2 linked regions of the Arabidopsis thaliana genome follow. The protein of the gene in region 2 interacts with the protein of the main gene of each other region in a pairwise test. Each region holds a gene or a part of one and is shown on either strand. Other genes may lie near its edges.

What was found.
Region 1: the proteins of NF-YB1 (region 2) and NF-YC12 interact in binary tests that used the Arabidopsis thaliana proteins (3 or more experiments, as listed by UniProt).

What each region holds. Positions count from the first base shown.
Region 1 is NC_003076.8:15,219,699-15,224,168, forward strand, and holds NF-YC12 (nuclear factor Y, subunit C12), read right to left. Parts: upstream 2,827-4,470; 5' UTR 2,520-2,826; intron 2,406-2,519; 5' UTR 2,328-2,405; coding exon 2,217-2,327; intron 2,135-2,216; coding exon 2,056-2,134; intron 1,958-2,055; coding exon 1,896-1,957; intron 1,651-1,895; coding exon 1,444-1,650; intron 1,370-1,443; coding exon 1,298-1,369; intron 1,196-1,297; coding exon 1,142-1,195; intron 682-1,141; coding exon 679-681; 3' UTR 510-678; downstream 1-509. UniProt on the Arabidopsis thaliana protein: Stimulates the transcription of various genes by recognizing and binding to a CCAAT motif in promoters.
Region 2 is NC_003071.7:16,236,538-16,241,326, forward strand, and holds NF-YB1 (nuclear factor Y, subunit B1), read left to right. Parts: upstream 1-1,954; 5' UTR 1,955-2,048; intron 2,049-2,140; 5' UTR 2,141-2,147; coding exon 2,148-2,347; intron 2,348-3,043; coding exon 3,044-3,177; coding exon of another isoform or gene 3,178-3,305; exon of another isoform or gene 3,306-3,442; coding exon 3,443-3,513; intron 3,514-3,601; coding exon 3,602-3,682; coding exon of another isoform or gene 3,683-3,688; exon of another isoform or gene 3,689-3,770; coding exon 3,771-3,779; 3' UTR 3,780-3,823; exon of another isoform or gene 3,824-4,037; 3' UTR 4,038-4,244; downstream 4,245-4,789. Other genes in the region: AT2G38870 (Serine protease inhibitor, potato inhibitor I-type family protein), read right to left, coding at 9-202, 495-513; AT2G38890 (uncharacterized protein), read left to right, coding at 4,558-4,588, 4,668-4,769. UniProt on the Arabidopsis thaliana protein: Component of the NF-Y/HAP transcription factor complex. The NF-Y complex stimulates the transcription of various genes by recognizing and binding to a CCAAT motif in promoters.

The DNA.
Region 1 (4,470 bases), on a different chromosome or scaffold from region 2:
ATTTTATATGACGGAGTGTCGTTTACTTCACCGTCCATACTTAAAAACAAACATATTTTGGTAAACAATTTTCATAGAATATAGAAGAAAAATATATCTCTTGCTTACATGTCATACCATTAGTTAATTACATCCTTCCTCGACATCATTTGGTGTCCTTTGATGTTAAACCTTACTTTGGCACCATACTTTACATTTTTCGGTACAATATGATTTGACAAGCATTAGTTTTGGTTAACATTAGTTTTGGCAAATATTCCGAAGTGGCAAAAGAGTGGCCATACAAAACTAAGGATACGAAAAGTTATGGTGTTGTACAGAGTTGTGCCCCACCCATGGACATTATTAAAGAGAGAAACCAAAATAGATCCACCTAAAACGTGTTCATCAAAATGTGTAGAAAACTTTTTCGTGCAAATGACAAAAAAAACAAAATAAAATAAATAAAAAAATAAATTACATAAGTAAAAATATCAAACATTGTATTATTCTTTTTTGGTTTAGGAGGAAACACCGAAACATTGTATTTTTATTCAGGAACAATAAATAATACACATAGTTTAGTGAATGAGTTTATGATAAACTATTATAAGGTGAACATAACATAGAGTTGTTGGGTGATTCCTCTTCAGATTTCTTCTCTTCTTCAAGTTTTTGTCTTCCAGAGCAGCTTCATGTTCACTGCAGATCCGAAGCCACAAGTACAAATCCATAGCAAGAACATAAATCTTAAGGAACAAACAACCAAATGGTTTCTTATTTTCTATTCGCAGTCCGTAAGTAAATTAACTCGGTATCGCATTCATCAACAAGTATCAACTAACTACTCAAAAAACAACAAGATATCAAATTGAAATCCTTCAATGAATCAAATACTGCAAATGCCAAATGTCTCATGGATTTCTCTGGATACACCTTTATATATTTATCCCCTATCTAGTTAGTCTCTATGCACAAATCTGTTAAGTCCTAACAATGATGCTAGCAAGATTGCTCTCAAATTGAAGCTACTATGAAGTTCTTTTCTAAATGGGTTCTCTAACAATATGTTTACTAGTGCATCCTCAATCTAAAATGTTTGCAAAACAGAAACTATACACTAATGCAATTGTTGTATGAATAGAAGCTCAAAGAAAACTACCTGGAGATCACAGTTGAGGTCAAACCCGACAGAGCGCTCTTCCATCATATTCTCCTGGTTTTGGTGCAAATGCAATAAACGAACATGAATTCTAACTTAGCATCGCATTAAAATGCTTTGTTTCAGATAATACCAATTATTAAGTAAAATAATCACCTCCTCAATCTGGTCCATATCGATTGGAACATTCATATCCGGCAAAATCATTTCAGCAGGAGGTTGCACACCCTGAACAGAAAGATTTAGCACATGAAAACATAATTTTTTTGATTTCACGAGTAAGATTGCGAAAAGGAGCTAACCTGATGGGTGACACAGTGCGGTCCAAAAGGGACACGATCAATCAGGAAATCATAAGTTCCTGAGTTCTTTACGGCCTGGAAGATATCACAACGCCGGATGGTCTCACGAGTGCATGATTGAGTATGCATCCAAGCTCGTAATGTTACCTCTAGAATGAAGTATTCACAGGCTTTCGAAAACAAAGCAGGAACATCACAGCTTATCTTCTGAAAATTCACATATATCTTAGGAAAAAATTGTAATAACAAACATATTTCTTCAAATCTTTGATGTCACATATATCTTGTCTATAAGTATTGATATCAACCTTAGAAAGATGTCAAAGGAACAGTAAAAATAAACAACACTAAAACATTCTAACAGTAAAACTCAACAGACTAACAAATTTGATCATAATGGCAATTTCAGAAACTCTAGACCAGCCAACATAATTCAAGTTAACCTCACATACCTTGACTTCAGGATCAGATTTCAAAATCTTTCTGACCCTAGATAGCGGCAAATGAGTTTGGCCTGTAGGTAACCAAAACAAGTCGAAGAATTAGCATTTAGGTGTCAATGCACTCTTTTTTCCTATTTAGGTACTCTAAACATCTCTTAATATCAGTCACCTGCAAAGTTTCCTAGCTGCTCCCTTTGATTATTCCAAAACACCTTCAGAGCTGTGTCCAACGAAGAGACCCCCTCGATCTGTTTAAGACCAAAATGTTAAAGAAACATACATAAAAAGACTTTAAGCCAAAAACACAGAACTAGGACTGACTAAATTTACCTTGCTTGTTTCAGGATGATTAGATCGAAATTGATCAAGCATTGGCATCGTGTTATGTGAACGAGGCGCAACAGGTTCCATCCTGACGTGAGATGACTTTGGCCTCCTCATGTTATATTTCACAACAGATGATGAAAAATCTTTGAAGATGTAGAGTTTGGCAAGAACAAGGGTTCTCTATATATGGAGCTAGAATCATAACGTAATAATAGTCATTTAAGAGTGTACCAATGACTAAGAGATTCCTTTTAAAGATTGTGAACAAACTTTTCTGGAATAAAGAGGAAAACATTTAATACTCACACGTTAGTAAGGATATACCTCGTGGAGCTCGTGAGGCATACATACGAAAGAACCACTCGCAGACCTTTTCCGTGAAAGCCACGCGCTGCGTAGAAGAAACCTGATGACCGAATTCAGTCTATATAGTAAGAGCACATAGTCTAAATGTAATTTCAAGAACCCAAAGATATCAATATGCCACAACTCATCTAAATGTGATCCAGTCTCATCAATGAAGTTGTCACACAAGTAAACCTGGATTAGATCAAAGCCACATCAAGTTTATTGAGTTCTGATTTTGGTAACTCTTAACTTCCACAAATGATAGAAATGTAATGGCATAAAAACAAGCAAACGATTTTACAAACATTTACATTAGTAAAAATAAATATATCCTATTTCTTGATTATGGTATCAGTTAGACACCAACTTTCACAGAAACAGACCATAGCGAACAGTGACCAACACCCTAGATCTTGTTGCTCTTTAAGATTCCACAAACCATGAACCCAAAAAAGATATAGAACAAATAATTCATATAACTATGCTCACACATTGTCAAACCAGTACCAAACATATGCACTACATGGTACCCAGAAATCAACATTTTCAGACAACTATAACCAAAATTACATACAGAAACTCTAAGTTCATGACAGAACAGACCCAGGAGAAAAATTCTTCCTCTAACTGGCCTAGTGTATTCATAAAGATCAGCAACATACAAATAAATGTTGAAAGCCAATGAAAACAATGGTTACCAATCGTATGCTAGAATGAGTCTACTCCATGTATTATATGATCATGCACAACAATGAACAAGAACAAGAATGTGAATGTGAATCATTTCATAGAATTTAGATTTCTTAGAGATTCTAGCAATTGTTATTGAACGCAGAAGTCAAAATGATTTGAGTTTTTAACTTCTGCGACTGAAGAACTTGGCCAAGCGTGGAACTTTCTTTTTCTTCTTGATTACAAAGAAAGTTGGAGTTCCAACAGATGAGTATCTTCTTGGCTTCCCACGTTGGACCGGTGTGAATTTTCCAACTGGTTTGGGAGAAATATAGCCTTCAGCTTCCGAGTTCCTCTTAATCTTCTGAATCTCACCCTCCACCAATCTCTTCGTCGACAATGACCTTTCCATCCTAAACACTTCTCTCTCTTCTTCCGCTTTCGTCATTTCACTTTCTCTCATCAAAGTTTCCGTCTTCATCAGAAACGATTTTGTGCTAGCCTTGAGTGCTTCCACCCACGCCGCTGCTGCTGCAACTTTCTTCTCTGCGGTTTCTTCCGCTTGTGAAGCATGTTTACTCAAATACTCGTACTCAAACCTCGAGATAGTGATTGTTGAACAATGCTCAGACTCCATTTCGCGACTCTCCATCATGTCTTCTACTAAAGATTCAAGCTTCTCAAGCACTAAAGCCTCAGTGTGCTTCACTTTTTCAAGCTCATCCAACTTTGAATTCAGTTCGCTTTCCTTTTTATCTATATCAAGTTTGGTTTTCTGTGTTTCCGCCTTTGTAACCGTCTTCTCTTCTTTGAAAAGGAACTCCTCTTTCTTTGCAGCATTTCTACTTTTCTTTATCTTCTCAAGCGAACCAACGAAATTCTCAGCAAGAGAGCTAATCCTTTCTTCGGCGATAGATACCACTTCCAACTTCGATTTTTCGATAAGAATCTTTGAGTTGAGTTTCTCAATCTTAACATCATCTTCCCTCAAGATTTTTCCAAGGCAAGCTGTTTCATCCCTGGCTCGGATAATCTCATTCCTCAACGCATCCATTACTGTCATGACCCTGAAGATCTCTACTTTAACAGAAGCAAGTTCCTCCTTCTTCCCTTCAGTCACTTCTTTCAAAACCGATAAACTATACTTCCCTCTTCCAAAAGAACGGTTTGATCTCGACATACTACTACTATCTCTCCCCTGAACTCTCCTCTCCATTTTCTTGAAAAGCTTTAACTG
Region 2 (4,789 bases):
ATACAAGTCTAGCCGGATTTGGGGGTTTTGACGACGATACGGTTTCCATCAACAAAAACTCTGACCCGGTCGCACCTGAAGTCTGCGGTCACCGGACTCCCATCCAAAATCACGGCAGCATTGACGGTGGGGTTCTCTCTCTCTATCACCACGGCCGCATAGTCACCATTTGTTCCCGTAAGCTCCGGCCACGAGTTCTTCCCTGCGATCACGTTACGTTAGATCGGTCAATCATTTACGTTTGGGATTTTGGAGATCAAGAAGCTCATATTTGAGTAAATGAAAACAAAAGAACTAGAAACATCACCATGGATTGACCATATGTAACATAATTAACCTTCTAACAGACTTTAGAAAATGTAATCATATATGTTATAGCTATTGAATTACAATTTTAAATGCCTTGAATCCATATCTAATTGAACATTAGCTAACTATTTACAAACATATAAAACTTTAATTATGAACTATACAATACAAATACAAAAACTTACTAGGACATTCGGTCGACATTTTTCTTCACTCTTGTATATATTTATGTAGTCTTCTGATGTATTTGTATGCTCACCTTTAGAGATTTGAGTCCCATTTATAGAATCGGATACGTACGTTACGTCTTGGTGTCGGTGTCGTCGGTGAGGTTGCAGATTCAAAAGTCAAACTTTGACGAAACCAGCTTTTAATAGCCCCTTCGTTGACATTATTAATTTGTTTGGTAAAAGCTTTGACACTTCTGATTTTGTTTTATAAAGCTTTGAAATGTACATATTTATATCACGATGTTCAAACCTTATCGAGAACAAGATAAGGTTTCTAAGGCTAAGATAATGTCGAAATTTGAAAAACAAACGAAGGTGAAAAATATTTCTAGCGTCGACTGAATTCTGTTTGCATGCAAAAAAACGCTTCTGCCAAATTTGGCACTTAGCCGACAAAAATGACCAAACTGTCCTTCATAAAATTCATGTATAAAAATACTATAATCAATTGTTGTCACACACACAAACAACGATAATGTCAATTATGTTGAATTGTTGACGTACATAAAATTTGACAAACAACATCACAACTTAGTCATATAGTTTTTTTTTTGTTCCCGTTTGATAATCTTGTCATATAGTTAATATTCAATTTGATATGTATATACAGTTTAAAACACGTATATACAGTTCAACTTAGTCATAGTTTTTCTTTTGGTCTGTTTAAGATTGGTAAAAGCACGTATCCGGAATAAAGATTTAGGTATTAATTGGTAACAACTCTATATGCGGGTTTCGAACAAAATTACAAAATCACATATTATATGAGACCAAGTCACCATCACACTTAAATATTTGTGGTTGAGAATTAATTAGTGTTTAGTTTTGTGTATGTTTCACACTGCCCAATGTTACAAACTTGTGTGTGTCAAGAAGACGAGGCCGCCTGAAAACAAAACATGTAAGCCCATTGAAACAGACACCAAAAGACATATGGTCTATAAGCCTCTCCTTGTGCTGGAGCTGGACACAAATTCTTTAAGACCGAGGTTTTCAAACGTAGGCCCAAATAAATAGAACCAAATCCAGTTAGAAGCCCAATAAAATGTTAATTACTTATCTTTGTATTTTAATTTTTGTTCTTTAAAGTTTAGGATTTTTTACATAAGTAAAAGAATTTGTTCTTTAGGCACTTTGAATCCACATTGTCGTTGGTATTGTTATTAGAGTATCTTAATTTTCTATGATTTATTTACGTAGATAATTCATTGAAAAATTAAATGAATTTATGTTTAAATTCTCATCTAATTATTATACAATAGATTGAAAAAGTCACCCTTAGTCAAATTGTTCATATAGTTTTCTTAAATTGTCTAATTAATTACCAAATTAATCCTTGTCTGAAAACTTTTACAAAAGCTAATACAGAACAAATACAAAAAAACGTGTAATCATATCATATAAACACCAGTCGCAGCGTTTCGTAGAAAAATTCGATTTCTCTAAAGCCCTAAAACTAAAACGACTATCCCCAATTCCAAGTTCTAGGGTTTCCATCTTCCCCAATCTGTACGCCATTTTCGATTTCCTTTTTTGTTGTTTACTTTAGCTTCATCGACCATGTTTAGGTTTCAAATTGAGTGTTTGTTCTGTTTCTGTAGAGTATAAATGGCGGATACGCCTTCGAGCCCAGCTGGAGATGGCGGAGAAAGCGGCGGTTCCGTTAGGGAGCAGGATCGATACCTTCCTATAGCTAATATCAGCAGGATCATGAAGAAAGCGTTGCCTCCTAATGGTAAGATTGGAAAAGATGCTAAGGATACAGTTCAGGAATGCGTCTCTGAGTTCATCAGCTTCATCACTAGCGAGTATGCATTCCCAATTTTTCTTCTTTCAATCGAATTTGTTGGAAAATATTTTGCTCTTTGGTGAAAAAAATTGATCATTTGTTGGAACTTTGGGTTTGTGAGAGATAGTTTTCTTAAACTAGCTATGGATTGAGTTTAGCTCAGAGAGTTTTTTGAAGTTTATAGAGCAAAGATTATGTTTTTTTTTTTGTCACAATGTTAATCAACCATTGTTTGGTATGGGTTTACCTTAACCTAGTTCCTTTCCTATAGACCATTTTGCAGATTATTTCACATGCTTCTACTGTGTTATATCTTAACTCTGTCAAATAAATTGTTAGATTTTTTTCTTCATTTAACCATCTTAGGGTATAAAAGCCGTATCTTGATCATGTTTCAAAGATTCTTTTATCTTTAGGATCTGTTTGTTTTTGTTCCTTTTTGTTCATTTAAGGCAAAAGATATGTTTTTCATCATGAAGGAATTGCTTGTGTTGAATGCGTTTTAGGTCTCTGATTGATGAGTTTTATGTTTCTTATAACATCAGATGCCCCCGTTCTTTGTTAGGAAGAAATAAGTTATCATGTATGAAACTATGATTTATCTATTGGTTCAAGATAAGCTTGTCTGATGTTGCGCTTAAGTCTCTTTTGCTGGTCTTATGTTGATTCGTTGACTGTAATGGCCAATTGACTGGTATCTGTTTCTGCTAATCAGGGCCAGTGATAAGTGTCAAAAAGAGAAAAGGAAAACTGTGAATGGTGATGATTTGTTGTGGGCAATGGCAACATTAGGATTTGAGGATTACCTGGAACCTCTAAAGATATACCTAGCGAGGTACAGGGAGGTATGTTGCTTTGACTCCCTAATCATGTGTTCTGAAATCCTTAATATCCTAGTCAAGAGATTAGTAGCTGTGAGTAACATCGAAGCTTGCCATGATAGCAGTTTTACAATCCCTTCAATACGTCTTGTGTAGAATTTTTGAAGCAAGAAAGATAAATCTAGACCAACAGTCAGGATGCATATTAGTAAATTTTGAAAGACATTTATTACTCTCTCTTTTGTGCTTTTGTTGTTAACATACATAATAAAATCAAAATGTTTCTTATTAAGTTGAGACTAATTCGGTTCTTTTCATTCCCTGGGATTGGTTGCTGACACACCACCTGCTGATGCAGTTGGAGGTAAATAAACCACATACTTATTTCTACTTTATATTCCATTCCAGTGTTGCCCATTGGCTTCTTACGTTTTGTTGTGAAATTATGATAGGGTGATAATAAGGGATCAGGAAAGAGTGGAGATGGATCAAATAGAGATGCTGGTGGCGGTGTTTCTGGTGAAGAAATGCCGGTATGATTTTGACAAGTATAGATGATACCAATGCTATACAGCCTATATTGTACTTAGCTCTGACTTCATCATTTTGATTCAATCACAGAGCTGGTAAAAGAAGTTGCAAGTAGTGATTAAGAACAATCGCCAAATGATCAAGTAATTCTTCTCTCTATCACACGGCCTCATGTACACAAATGAAGAGCATAGTCTATATGCATGTAGGTTCATATCCAATCTTCACTTCGTTACAACTGATGATAGTAGGACATGCCTTGTAAACTTGCTGATCATGTTATATTTTGCTGTGTGAATGAACTATGGCTAGTTTCAAAATTGTTTGTCTAACGTGAAATTCTCTAAAACGGTGCAGGGGAAATTAGAGATCAGTGAGTTGTTTATAGTTGAGCTGATCGACAACTATTTCGGGTTTACTCTCAATTTCGGTTATGTTAGTTTGAACGTTTGGTTTATTGTTTCCGGTTTAGTTGGTTGTATTTAAAGATTTCTCTGTTAGATGTTGAGAACACTTGAATGAAGGAAAAATTTGTCCACATCCTGTTGTTATTTTCGATTCACTTTCGGAATTTCATAGCTAATTTATTCTCATTTAATACAAAATCCTTAAATTAAATTTGTACAGTACCTTTGTTTTGGGTATAGACAATTACATTTTAAGTCAGTTGATCTGTATCAAATACTACACTTACAAAATCACAAAGTAAAGGCAGCAATTAATTTTGCTTTGAATTGAAAAGCTTTGAGAGAGTAATCAAATGCTTAAATCACGAAAACTTACAAATTTCAAAATTTTGTCTCTCCATAAATTCTCTTAATAAAGGCTGTTGTTTTTCCAATTTGAAAATTCTATTTTTCAAAATCAAGAACAGGCTATGGAATTTCAAGAAGCTGGTTCATCATCAAGTAGAATCATCTTCCTCTGTTTCCTCTCCTATCTAAAATCTCTTTAGTCTTCAGAAACTGATTATACTTTGTGCAGCAGCAAGAGTAAAGATTGACTTTGTGCAGCCGATGGCACACAAAGAGAGCAAATGGAACCATCGCAAAAGCTTGGCCTGGGACACTGCTTTTTCCACCAACCCTGGTTTCTTCCTATTTCCTATA